2 linked regions of the Arabidopsis thaliana genome follow. The protein of the gene in region 1 interacts with the protein of each later gene in a pairwise test. Each region holds a gene or a part of one and is shown in the gene's direction. Other genes may lie near its edges.

Evidence for each region. The genes of interacting proteins can lie anywhere in the genome.
Region 2: the proteins of AT2G34480 (region 1) and NIK1 interact in a two-hybrid assay, tested with the Arabidopsis thaliana proteins (one study listed by BioGRID).

What each region holds. Positions count from the first base shown.
Region 1 is NC_003071.7:14,530,024-14,536,029, reverse strand, and holds AT2G34480 (Ribosomal protein L18ae/LX family protein), read left to right. Parts: upstream 1-1,620; 5' UTR 1,621-1,751; coding exon 1,752-1,883; intron 1,884-1,991; coding exon 1,992-2,107; intron 2,108-2,205; coding exon 2,206-2,269; intron 2,270-2,772; coding exon 2,773-3,114; 3' UTR 3,115-3,406; downstream 3,407-6,006. Other genes in the region: CYP710A2 (cytochrome P450, family 710, subfamily A, polypeptide 2), read left to right, coding at 1-156; UREG (urease accessory protein G), read left to right, coding at 3,619-3,671, 3,763-3,966, 4,172-4,232, 4,323-4,524, 4,635-4,756, 4,849-4,953, 5,047-5,130; AT2G34460 (NAD(P)-binding Rossmann-fold superfamily protein), read right to left, coding at 5,298-5,462, 5,541-5,933.
Region 2 is NC_003076.8:5,220,271-5,227,855, forward strand, and holds NIK1 (NSP-interacting kinase 1), read left to right. Parts: upstream 1-3,663; 5' UTR 3,664-3,993; coding exon 3,994-4,117; intron 4,118-4,301; coding exon 4,302-4,434; intron 4,435-4,523; coding exon 4,524-4,595; intron 4,596-4,699; coding exon 4,700-4,843; intron 4,844-4,938; coding exon 4,939-5,010; intron 5,011-5,109; coding exon 5,110-5,169; intron 5,170-5,253; coding exon 5,254-5,351; intron 5,352-5,434; coding exon 5,435-5,584; intron 5,585-5,669; coding exon 5,670-6,733; 3' UTR 6,734-7,018; downstream 7,019-7,585.

The sequences.
Region 1 (6,006 bases):
CTCGTGCTCTTCATCGCTATGTTCTCATCGTTGTTTGATTTCAAGAGACTTCAATCGGACGGTTGCGATGACATCATATACTGTCCCACGATATCGCCAAAGGACGGGTGCACGGTGTTCTTGTCTAAGCGCATCGTAACGTATCCGAACCTCTGATTTGGATTTTTGTTACAAATTATTGGTGATCAAAGTCAATACTCATGAGTGTGATTACTATTATTGTTGTTCGTGATCGTGATGTGTCTCGTGAGGTGAGTTCCACTAGAGCGTTATGTCTTGTTGAATTTGAGAAGTCATTGTTTTGCCATTAATCTGTACTGTCTTATTTTGTTTGGACCCCAGTGATTCTATAACGTGTTTCATGTATTTTATGTCATTTTCTCTATTTTTCGATTCAAATAGAGATAACAATATCGCCTCGTGGTATATAACGACAGAAAGCCAAAACCGTAAAAGAATTCACACATTCTCGGTATTATTGTACATTTGGATCGTTAAGATATACTAATATACATATACAACCCTATAGTTCCTGTTAGATTTTTACATTTCATTTTCTTATTTACATTTTTGTAAGATAATTAATATTAATATTTTATCTATACGATTAGCAAGATAAAATAACACTGTGACGATAGGTGTAGTAAAGTGTTGATGTCGCAAAGTAAACAATTCCGAAATTTGATGGCACTATGGTTGCCATGAAGTCACCCATGTTTTCTCTTAGAAAAAATTTGATTCCTAGTTTTTTATTCTCTTTTTGTGTCAACTGTCAAGGTTTCACACTTTCAATTATATAGGTTCTAGCTACTAACCAAAGTTTAAGACCTGATTATTTATTTTAATGATATTTACAATTTAGCCATAAAAGCAAAGTACGTAAAAACTGAGAAGATTTACTATTATTGTATATAGTTATCTTATAGTATAGAGAGTATGTACAGATTGATATTTCTATAAATTAATCTTAGTTTTGGTTTAAGTTTTGGTTTATGGCTTATGGTTTAAGCCTTTGGTTAAGTTGTATATAAACCCCCAATTGTATTATTTTCTAAATTAATGAGAATGAGATTTAATTGCTAATATTTACAATGCGAAGAAAAATATATCTGAAGATGCTGACATATGATTTTGACATATGTATTGATTTCTTGTCAAACAATTATGTTTGGATAGGAGTTGCTGAGCATCTTGATTAAACAGTACAATTTAATCATATACAAGTCCTTTTGTCATCGTCGAGAGTCTTCATCAATGGCGTTGGCGTGTCACAATTATGCAATGAATGTGTGAGATACACAGTATGCAATAACGACCTTGATTACCTTTTTTTTTTTTTTTTCTTTCTTGCGCTCGTGTTTGCGTGTCCTCATCACCCACTAATTTACTTCGTTGGATCTCACAATGCTACTATAGAGTGGATTGGACCTATATATGTGTGTTTGGGCTTTGTCGTAACCCACATCTGTCTTCTGTCGTTTTGCTTTAAACAGATAAAGTTTGGTAGTTTTTCACTTTCATATTTTTTGGTTAATGATTTTCACTTTCACCCCTCTTCAAATAAAATGGTTTTTTTTTTTTTTTTTTTTTTTTCCCGTATGTGTGTGTGCACTATTTGGCCTGGTAAGGATATAATATTGAAACTTGCTACAAAAATTTGACTAGAGAGAAATAATAAAATGAGGAGGAGGAAATAACCAAATTTCGGGTGGGCTAAGACTTGATTACAATTAACAGCCCATTGGGCTTTTATGATATCAGTTTTAGAATTAGGGTTTTTGGGCAGATGCTCATTTATAAAGAAGAAGAACCCTAGCCGCTTATATTTGGTTGAGGTTTCCACCGCATTGTCTCTCTCCAGACGAAAAATGGGTGCTTTCAGGGTAAGCTCTTTGATTCCTTGTTGATTTCAATGACACTATTTGCTGCTGATTCAAGTTTCGGACTCGAAGAAAGAATCTGATCTAAGCTTTGTCTGGTTTCATTTGCAGTTTCACCAGTACCAGGTTGTGGGAAGAGCTCTCCCGACAGAGAAGGATGTGCAGCCTAAGATTTACAGGATGAAGCTCTGGGCTACGAACGAGGTTCGTGCCAAGTCCAAGTTCTGGTTAGTAATCATATTCTTTCTCTCTCTCTTTTCCATTTTTGTTGCTGCTGAGAATGATATGAGCTTGATCTTTAATTAGAGTGTGTTATTTGGATTAGGTATTTCTTGAGGAAGCTCAAGAAGGTGAAGAAGAGTAATGGACAGATGCTCGCCATCAACGAGGTACTTGTTCATTTGTGAAATGACGCAATCTCGTTTGACTTCTTATATCTTATTGAGTTAGGCACTTAGATTCATTTATCTGGAAAGTGAATGTATTTGCTTGACTAGAACACTAGGGTTTTGATTGATCACGTTTGCGTCTTTGTTTAACCTATAAATGCAGAGTCTTTTGTTTGCCTGACTATTATACAATACTTTTATGTAACTTTCAAATAGCCTGATCATGCAAATCTCTCATGGCTTTGAATCTATTTGTATCATACTTCTAATTTTGCTGATTCTGATAATTTCTTTGTCTGTTAGTCTAGGTTAATACTTTTCATTTGCTGTCTGTCATCAAATGAGAAAACTTAGATTCACCAAAGTCTCTTACTTGATTCTCTCGACTTGCTATTGAATCGAAATTGAAACCATATCACGTTTTTATCATGAGTTTATATTGTTTGATTGCTCCTTGGCCCCTCTCTTGACTAATGTAATCTATTACCAAATTGTTTGCACAGATCTATGAGAAGAACCCAACAACGATCAAGAACTTCGGTATTTGGTTGAGGTACCAGAGTAGAACTGGGTACCACAACATGTACAAGGAGTACCGTGACACCACTCTTAACGGAGCTGTTGAGCAGATGTACACTGAGATGGCATCCCGTCACCGTGTCAGATTCCCTTGCATTCAGATCATCAAGACAGCCACTGTCCCAGCCAAGCTGTGCAAGAGAGAGAGCACTAAACAGTTCCACAACAGCAAGATCAAGTTCCCATTGGTGTTCCGCAAGGTTAGACCACCAAGCAGGAAGCTGAAGACGACTTACAAGGCCAACAAGCCCAACTTGTTCATGTAAAACGTCTCTGATTGACTCTTTTTTGGGGTGGAATCGATGTTGAAGCTGTGCTCTCTCCCGTTTTGGATTTTATCGGTTATTTTTGTTTTTCAATATGTTAGGCGTACTCATGAATGTGAACTCGACTTTGTCTGGATTTTATGCTTCTTGTTTCCTACTTATGAAAAAACCTTTCCCTTAATTCCTATATTTTGTGCTCTTTATTGTGTTAACAACCATCGCTTCTTTAAAGTGAAAGATTTTAAGTCTTGGACTGTGATACCAACTTGGTGTCAGTTAAAATACGTTTCCTCTACTGTAATTTTGCCTTCAAACACTTAACATATGACAGGGGTATTACAGTCATTTTATGCTCCCGACAGAGAAAGCATCTCCTTTCACTTAGGATAGAAAAATATAGAAAGATTCTTACATTAAAAACTGTGCTTAATGATCCCAGAATCCCAGTAGTAGCTCTACTCAAAGTCAACACAGCTACCGGAAGAAGATTCGAGTCTCTCGGAAATGGCATCACACGACCACCATCATCATCATCACGATCATGAGCATGACCACGAGTTCGTGTTATCATTGATTTTCTCTGTAAAGTTCTGATCTTGATACGATTTATTCCCCTCACTAATCTGTTTCTCTACTTCTTCTGTCAAGTAGGAAATCAGACGGCGGAGAAGGGAAGGCGTCGTGGGTGGGGAAGGACGGGAAGGTGTACCATAGCCACGATGGACTCGCACCTCACTCACACGAACCCATCTACTCTCCTGGCTACTTCAGTCGCCGAGCTCCTCCGCTTCACGACCGTAACTTCTCTGAGAGAGCTTTTACCGTCGGTATTGGCGGTCCCGTTGGCACTGGGTAATCATTTCATGATCAAATTTACTGCTTGATTTTGTAATTTGGTACCGTAACAAATTTTAATCTCTGGGTTAAGGATTAAGCATGAATCTATGATAATGTTCTTGTCTGGGTTCTTTGGAATGCTATTTTAAGATTTGGGTTTCATAAAAGTGTCAAACTTTTTAGTCTAATCACCATTGGATTGTTGTTTTTGTTGACTCAGGAAAACGGCATTGATGCTTGCTCTTTGTAGATTCTTGAGGGACAAATATAGTCTTGCTGCTGTGAGTATTATTATCAGTGGCAAACACAAGATTGTTTTCTCGATCTCACTCATGTGACTAAATAAGATTTTGATATTGTAAACGTTGTAGGTGACAAATGATATATTCACGAAAGAGGATGGTGAGTTTCTGGTGAAGAATGGGGCTCTTCCTGAGGAAAGGATTAGAGCTGTTGAAACAGGTGGATGTCCACACGCTGCTATCCGTGAAGATATCAGTATCAATTTGGGTCCTCTTGAGGAGTTATCTAACTTATTCAAGGCTGATTTGCTTCTTTGTGAATCCGGTGGAGGTGAGGTTTCATTTCTAGCTAGTTCTTGATAGTTAATCTGCACGATATATAGATTTCTGTTTCTCAAGGAACCAATGAGATATGAATAGGCTTAGTGTTGTGTGTTGCAGATAATTTAGCTGCTAATTTCAGTAGAGAACTAGCTGACTATATCATCTACATCATCGATGTATCGGCTGGTGATAAAATACCCCGTAAAGGCGGCCCTGGAATCACTCAAGCTGATCTTCTGGTGCGCTTATGCTGCCTTAACTCTTCACTTACTCCTTTTGATCAAGTCTATAGTAGTGTGAAAGAATCTCTTGTGGATTTTTCCAACTGCAGGTGATAAACAAGACTGACCTTGCAGCAGCTGTTGGGGCTGACTTATCGGTCATGGAAAGGGATTCACTACGCATGCGTGATGGAGGGCCATTTGTCTTTGCTCAGGTTCGCCATCTTCAGAAATATGTTTCATCACTTATATAACCAATGACCTTAGTACTTACAAAAGAGTCTTCTTTGATTACTAAACATTGGCAGGTGAAGCATGGGCTTGGAGTCGAGGAAATCGTGAACCATGTCATGCACTCATGGGAACATGCGACCGGGAAGAAGCGCCAGTGATGATGGGGTTCTTAAGACCCAAAATGGATAAGATATGAAACTGAATGGAACTCTTTCAATACTTATCTTGAACTCAATTTATGCGCAAAAGTCTATGTAATCTGTTTGTTGTACTCAAGACATAAGAGAAATAAAAGGTTTGAGCATGAGACTCATTACATTCTAGTTTATTGTCCTTTAACAGAGGCAAATAGATCTTTGTAGGAACGTTTTGGAGCTTCGGCACGAGCAACTATCTCCACAACCTTGAAAGATGATTCCTCTTGAAGTAAAGCTTCCACTGCAACTTCTGCGACCAGGTCTCTCGATATACTCCCTTCATATAGAGTATCCTACAAAAATCAAAGGTCAGATCTTTATCAGTTTCCAGCACAAAACAGATGAAACAAATATCAAAGGCTGTGTTTTACCTCTGGCTCCATGACAACATTTCCAGTTGGAGGATCGTTTTTAAGACCACCAGGCCTTACTATAGTATAGTTGATGCCAGATTTTTTGATATACTTCTCGGCTTGAAGCTTAGCGACAAGAGTTAGTCCAAAGAGGTTGAGGAAGAGGTAAGCAGGGTTCAGTATCTGTCCCATGGCAGCTCCATTCACCAAGATGGAGCTTACAAGAACAAACTTTTCCACTCCTTGTTTACGGCAAGCATCCACAAGATTCACTGTCCCGAAATTATCGACTTTCCAAGGAGTGAATATATCAAATCCGGGACGAAACCCAGTAGCACAAATCACAGCTTGAGAATCATCACCTATAACTTCAGCTAGCTTATCAGGACCTTCTGTCACGTCTGCTCTAACCTATAGAAGAAATCACAGAGCAGTTGTGAGAAAATGAGAGCGAGAAAACATTGGATTAAGACCAAGAACATAC
Region 2 (7,585 bases), on another chromosome or scaffold:
TAGATACAGTGATCTTCCATCTTTTTTTAATGGTTTCCTCAATCTTCATAGGCATGAAATACTGAGGCTCTTCTCTAATGTTATCTAAAAATAACCTAGAAATCACAGGAACCTTCAACATTTCACAATCACCATTTGGAATACATGTATGCACATCCTTGAACACATTCACTCTCCACTTAGGACATTTTTTAGGCACTGCACAATAGATTCGCCATACACAACCATCACCATCACACTTAAAAGCAACCTTATCTTTATCATACATGTATTGTGCAATGTTGCATCCTGTCTTCAAGGCATGGTCGAGTACAACTTCCTTAAAGGCTATCTCGTTGAAGAATGTCTGGTGATAGTAGAGATTCCCTCCTCCACGTCTACTGTTCTCACGCTTTCTCTCCCGAACAACATCCTCATCTTCATCATTGTCACTGTCCGGATACTCGTCGTGAAGAATCGAAGGCTCATCTCTGAACTCATTTACGGCCTTCTCGATTTCAAACGCGTCTCGGTCCCTCGGATCTTCGTCGTCAGGAACATCGTCCTCCATTAGAATTTCTTCTCCTTCAAACTCTTGCGGACCAGTTCCGGTAGCCTCCTGATGAACGATTAAAGCATTCGTCTCAAATTCATTCGCATCCATCGAATTCAAAAACTGGGGATTTTTCAATTTTAGGGTTCTATCGAATTAGGGATTTTTTGAATTGGGGGTTTTCTGAATTTAGTCGGGTTGTTTGGGTAATAAAACGGGTTGGTTTATGTGTTAATCCGATTTAGTTTCGTTCTTATACGGTTAATGTTGTTTCGGGTACAGTAAACCAACGATAAACCACGAAATTCAAAATTTTGTGGACTGAAGATTTGAACTTTTGATTTAGGGAGACTGAGGTTTAGAACTTTCATTTGGTGTGGATTGGAGACGAGGTCCGAAATCTGTGAAGTTGTGAGTGTATATGAAACTTCCCATAGGAACACAGGTCGTTCACCCTAGTTATAATCATTATATTCCAATAGACCATGCAAATACAATTATTGAGGTATTTTATTCAAATGGAACCCCAAATTAATTTCAAAATTTCATGATTTCAACGGATTCTAGGAAACATTATGATTATAAATTGTTTGTTATTGTCTACTTGATGACTAACAGTCCACTTAATTTCAGGAATTGTTAGTGTAATATTCAAAAAAGAAAAGCTTCCATTCCATATGCTCTTAAATACTTTTTAATTTTGTGTTATTAGGCCTAATACAGTGTAAGGAAACTAATACTTTTAGCCACCTTAATCAAGTATATAAACCGTCTTTGGATATCAAATAATAATCATAATCTATAATCTATAGTAAAATCTCATTTTCGTCTAACCAAGAATTTGATGACAATTAGGTGAGTGAAAAAAAGACAAATACAAAACTCTAAGTGAGAAAAAACAAAGTCTTAGACAATCGGGTGTATCGAATTAATTATACATTGCCAAGCATATATAGACAATGTAATGGCTGTAAATGGCAGAAGTAGTTTGAATCTTCATAACCGATTTAGAACACTTGAAATAAAATAAAACGATGAGCAATTTGTCATTGTGTAATGTGTATATATATGTTGTGACTAACAACTTTTGTATCAAATTTTAAACTAATTTACAAAATCTGAAGACTGTAGTAATCACGGGAAAAAAACTTTCGTGAGTTCATATAAAACTATGGCCAATAATCTAATATAACCAATCATGCAGTCTCCCTAACATGATTGAAGTTGAGACAATTTAGCTTCAGTGCCCTAGGCATAGGACTCAAGTTGGGAACCATTTTTCCCTATCTGCATTCTGCACAATAGTTCATGTCATGTTTTGTAATCTTATAAAAATTTATGATTTTCATTTTTGTTTCCCCTGAAAGTCACAGAACCCATTTACCATCAAACGTCAAATCAACGAGAAAAAGCATTAAATATTAATGATTGTTTCTCATAAATCGAGTTTTAAGAAACCGTGTCACGTGGAGACCAAACTATAAAAACTTGACTAGGAATGAAAGTAGTTCTTGAACAAGGAAATTTTATATATTGTTTGTTCACCACAAATTTAGAATATTTGTTTTTGTTTCTTTCCTTTTGGTTTACAGGTCGGTACGCATTGATGAAGATAACGATGATGTACGAATGTGAATATATATAGTTAAATAAATAGAACCTTGCAAAATCATTTTTAATGTGTGCTCCATTACAAGAAAAATAAATGATTCACATGTATTCTTACTAAGTAAACAACATTTCTTGATATAGTAAACACATATTACGTACTTTGTTGATCGAAATCAGAATCTAAGCAAATATTATTGTGTAATTTTTCTGTTAACCAACTTTTCGAAACAAGATAATTTGACGTTAAGTTTCAAAAATTTGGTTAAGGGAAAAATGAAATTACAAGATATATTTACTAGTTTATGTAATATTATAAAAAAACTTCTCCAAAATTTCAGATGATTGAAATCTTTAAAAGCCAGCATAACTATAATGAATGATGATAATTAAGTATTTCACTTAACCAGGTAAACCATATTCGTTTTAAGATCATATAGTAGTATATACTTCGAACAAATGCAAATGCATGTCATAATATTACTGCCAACTCACACATAGACAAAAACCCATGAAAACGACACGAGGTTTGGACAAATTGTAATGTCTTGGACTTGGATACTGGGTTATCTTATACATCTATTATTACTACACACTACAAAATATTGAAAATCTTATTGTGAATATAAATCTTGTAGTAGTCAAATAAAAAAAGAGTGGGTTAAAATATTTGCATTTTGACTATTAAGAAAAGGTGTTGTATTCTGAAATTTGTTATCTATACAGATTTGTTTTCCTGATGGAAGTTAAATGTGATCGTTGCTCTTAGTGGGATTTATCGAATTTATTTCTTTTAGATCTAAATTTTTTAAAAGACTATTATAAATAATTAACTTACAACATTTTTTTGAAGAAAAAAAAGCTTATCCTTCAATACTTGTACTAATATCTTCGTATTTCCACACATCGAGAAGACAAAGATGCTGAAAATTTGAGTGGGCAACAAAATCAATATAGTAGACAGAAGTATCTTGAGCCTAGTTTTTCATACAGTATAATCTTCTCATCGAAGTTCTCACATTCTCAAAACATATTAATCAAAAAAAAAAAAAAAAATTGCATACAAAAACATTCTATATACGGAGGAATTAATAAAGTCTAGCCTATGCATGACCAACCATGGATTGTTGGGTTCCGTTTACACCAAGCAATCAGTCAACAATGTGATTTAATCATACCCTTGAAACTTAACAACTCTTTTTCATCAGATTTCAACACTCGAAAAACAATCTATGTAAGTGTAATGTGAAATAAATTAAGAAATAGGAAAATGTAACAAAAACACTGTATATTCTAAACTAAAATTAGAAACCATAGACAAAAACATGACAGGGTGGCAGCTAGCAAAAGAACAGTAATCTAATTTCCTGCTTTACCCTTCAAAATTTTTGAAATACACAAAATATAGATTTGCTTTACTGACTATTCTTGTCGATTACAAGAAACAATATGGGCAAAATTATTTTTATAATATCTTTTCTTACAAATTTTTAATATAAATTTATTACTTTTTTAACGGTCTCCCCACACACAAACTTTATCGACAAGCATGCTATTCTAATTTCACTTTAGACTACCAATGAATCTGGTATCTCTATAAAGTTTGTATATCTTGTTTCTGACATACAAAAAAATAGTTTTTTTTAAAATAAAGGTTATGCTTTTGGTGAAGTGGGTTCATCTTGATGTTGAAATGTTTTTATACTTTAACCAAAATTGAAATGAAAAAAGGATAGAGATTTGGTTTTTTGATTCTTCCAATCTCACTCTCTCTGTCTTTCTCTCTCCATCAAATACCAAATTATCTGGAAGCTGAGTACATCTTGTTTTCTGCTCATTCCTCTGTTTCAACAATGGAGAGTACTATTGTTATGATGATGATGATAACAAGATCTTTCTTTTGCTTCTTGGGATTTTTATGCCTTCTCTGCTCTTCTGTTCACGGATTGCTTTCTCCTAAAGGTGTTAACTTTGAAGGTATATTCACTGTAAAGTCTCACTCTTTGGATTCTCTCTCTTTTTTTTTTTTTTACATTGTCACTTTCGTAGATGAAGTGTTTGATATTTGGTCTTTCTGGAATTTTTAGTTGATGGGAATTCAAATAAAAGTATATATTTCTTCTTGATCCAAACTAATATGGGAGTTTTTTATTTTCGTCAGTGCAAGCTTTGATGGACATAAAAGCTTCATTACATGATCCTCATGGTGTTCTTGATAACTGGGATAGAGATGCTGTTGATCCTTGTAGTTGGACAATGGTCACTTGTTCTTCTGAAAACTTTGTCATTGGCTTGTAAGTTTCACATTTTACATTGATACACTTATACTGTATATTACACTGATGAGCAAGCAAGGAAAACAATGATATAAATTTTATTACAGAGGCACACCAAGTCAGAATTTATCTGGTACACTATCTCCAAGCATTACCAACTTAACAAATCTTCGGATTGTGTAAGTACTTACTGTTCACTAAATGATTATTAAGTTTAAAATTTGATTAAATTCTTCTGTTTTGTGTGTGTGTGTGTGTTCTTGATGATTTTTTCCTCTTACAGGCTGTTGCAGAACAACAACATAAAAGGAAAAATTCCTGCTGAGATTGGTCGGCTTACGAGGCTTGAGACTCTTGATCTTTCTGATAATTTCTTCCACGGTGAAATTCCTTTTTCAGTAGGCTATCTACAAAGCCTGCAATATCTGTAAGAATAGTAAAAATTTGTTATGGATCTTTTAAATTTTGTGTTGTTTTTATAAGGAATTTGTGATCTTGATATGTCATGTTGTGTATCATCAGGAGGCTTAACAACAATTCTCTCTCTGGAGTGTTTCCTCTGTCACTATCTAATATGACTCAACTTGCCTTTCTGTAAGCTAATAAATCTTCAGTTTACATTAACCAGTAAAGAAATTCATATGTAGAGACATGAAATGTTGAGATTTGATCTGTTTTTTTTTTTGTTTCCAGTGATTTATCATACAACAATCTTAGTGGTCCTGTTCCAAGATTTGCTGCAAAGACGTTTAGGTAATTTGATTTATTGACAATGTCTCACTCTTTCACTCTCTTTGTCCGTATGATAACCTTTCATTGTTTCCCTTCGGATTACAGCATCGTTGGGAACCCGCTGATATGTCCAACGGGTACCGAACCAGACTGCAATGGAACAACATTGATACCTATGTCTATGAACTTGAATCAAACTGGAGGTAAATAACGAACTTCCTTTAAAACTTTCAATCTTAGTATTATGATCATACCTAACTAACAACAAACTGCTTTCTTTTTTAAGTTCCTTTATACGCCGGTGGATCGAGGAATCACAAAATGGCAATCGCTGTTGGATCCAGCGTTGGGACTGTATCATTAATCTTCATTGCTGTTGGTTTGTTTCTCTGGTGGAGACAAAGACATAACCAAAACACATTCTTTGATGTTAAAGGTTTGATCTTACTCAGTTTATTACTTGCACAGAACAATCTTATAAAGTTTTTTTTTTTTATAAAGAAAGTTCTTTTATTCAACAGATGGGAATCATCATGAGGAAGTTTCACTTGGAAACCTGAGGAGATTTGGTTTCAGGGAGCTTCAGATTGCGACCAATAACTTCAGCAGTAAGAACTTATTGGGGAAAGGTGGCTATGGAAATGTATACAAAGGAATACTTGGAGATAGTACAGTGGTTGCAGTGAAAAGGCTTAAAGATGGAGGAGCATTGGGAGGAGAGATTCAGTTTCAGACAGAAGTTGAAATGATCAGTTTAGCTGTTCATCGAAATCTCTTAAGACTCTACGGTTTCTGCATCACACAAACTGAGAAGCTTCTAGTTTATCCTTATATGTCTAATGGAAGCGTTGCATCTCGAATGAAAGCAAAACCTGTTCTTGACTGGAGCATAAGGAAGAGGATAGCCATAGGAGCTGCAAGAGGGCTTGTGTATCTCCATGAGCAATGTGATCCGAAGATTATCCACCGCGATGTCAAAGCAGCGAATATACTTCTTGATGACTACTGTGAAGCTGTGGTTGGCGATTTTGGTTTAGCTAAACTCTTGGATCATCAAGATTCTCATGTGACAACCGCGGTTAGAGGCACGGTGGGTCACATTGCTCCAGAGTATCTCTCAACTGGTCAATCCTCTGAGAAAACAGATGTTTTTGGCTTCGGGATTCTTCTTCTTGAGCTTGTAACCGGACAAAGAGCTTTTGAGTTTGGTAAAGCGGCTAACCAGAAAGGTGTGATGCTTGATTGGGTTAAAAAGATTCATCAAGAGAAGAAACTTGAGCTACTTGTGGATAAAGAGTTGTTGAAGAAGAAGAGCTACGATGAGATTGAGTTAGACGAAATGGTAAGAGTAGCTTTGTTGTGCACACAGTACCTGCCAGGACATAGACCAAAAATGTCTGAAGTTGTTCGAATGCTGGAAGGAGATGGACTTGCAGAGAAATGGGAAGCTTCTCAAAGATCAGACAGTGTTTCAAAATGTAGCAACAGGATAAATGAATTGATGTCATCTTCAGACAGATACTCTGATCTTACCGATGACTCTAGTTTACTTGTGCAAGCAATGGAGCTCTCTGGTCCTAGATGAAATCTATACATGAATCTGAAGAAGAAGAAGAACATGCATCTGTTTCTTGAATCAAGAGGGATTCTTGTTTTTTTGTATAATAGAGAGGTTTTTTGGAGGGAAATGTTGTGTCTCTGTAACTGTATAGGCTTGTTGTGTAAGAAGTTATTACTGCACTTAGGGTTAATTCAAAGTTCTTTACATAAAAAATGATTAGTTGCGTTGAATAGAGGGAACACTTTGGGAGATTTCATGTGTGAAATTTGGGAATTCATGTTTGAGAATGAAATTTATCTTATTATTGGATCCAACTCCACAAGTTAAAAATTTTCATTAATGCAAACTAGTTTCATTGTTTGTTTTGCACACACACCTGACCTACTGATAGGAAAAGGTAAAGTGAAAAAAAGAAGAAATGTCTCTCATAAAGACAACACGTAGTTCATATGTTGCCAAAACTTAAACGGAACTTTACTTTCGTTTTCAATGGATGATGAAACGTCGAGAATGTGTTTTCAAGAAAACGGCATGAAGTTGTTCTCTCCGTCAAAGAAACGACGTGTTTGTGTATATAAGGAAACACCACGTGGACGTGGACCGTCCATGAAATATAAAAACGGCAATAATCTATGTATACATGGTTCACACTAGATTCAAAGTCACACTTTATACCTACAAATGGAAACGTTCACACAATAGCTTCATCAAAGTCAGAATCACATATAGTGATATGATTTGGTTTGATAACATTAACAATATGCAAAGTCAAGAATTACACGCACATTCTATACGTTTATATGAAAGAAAAAGACAGTTAAAAAGCGAATCATATCTGCATAATTGCATCTGATCTCATGTCGGTGTCTCCTTAAT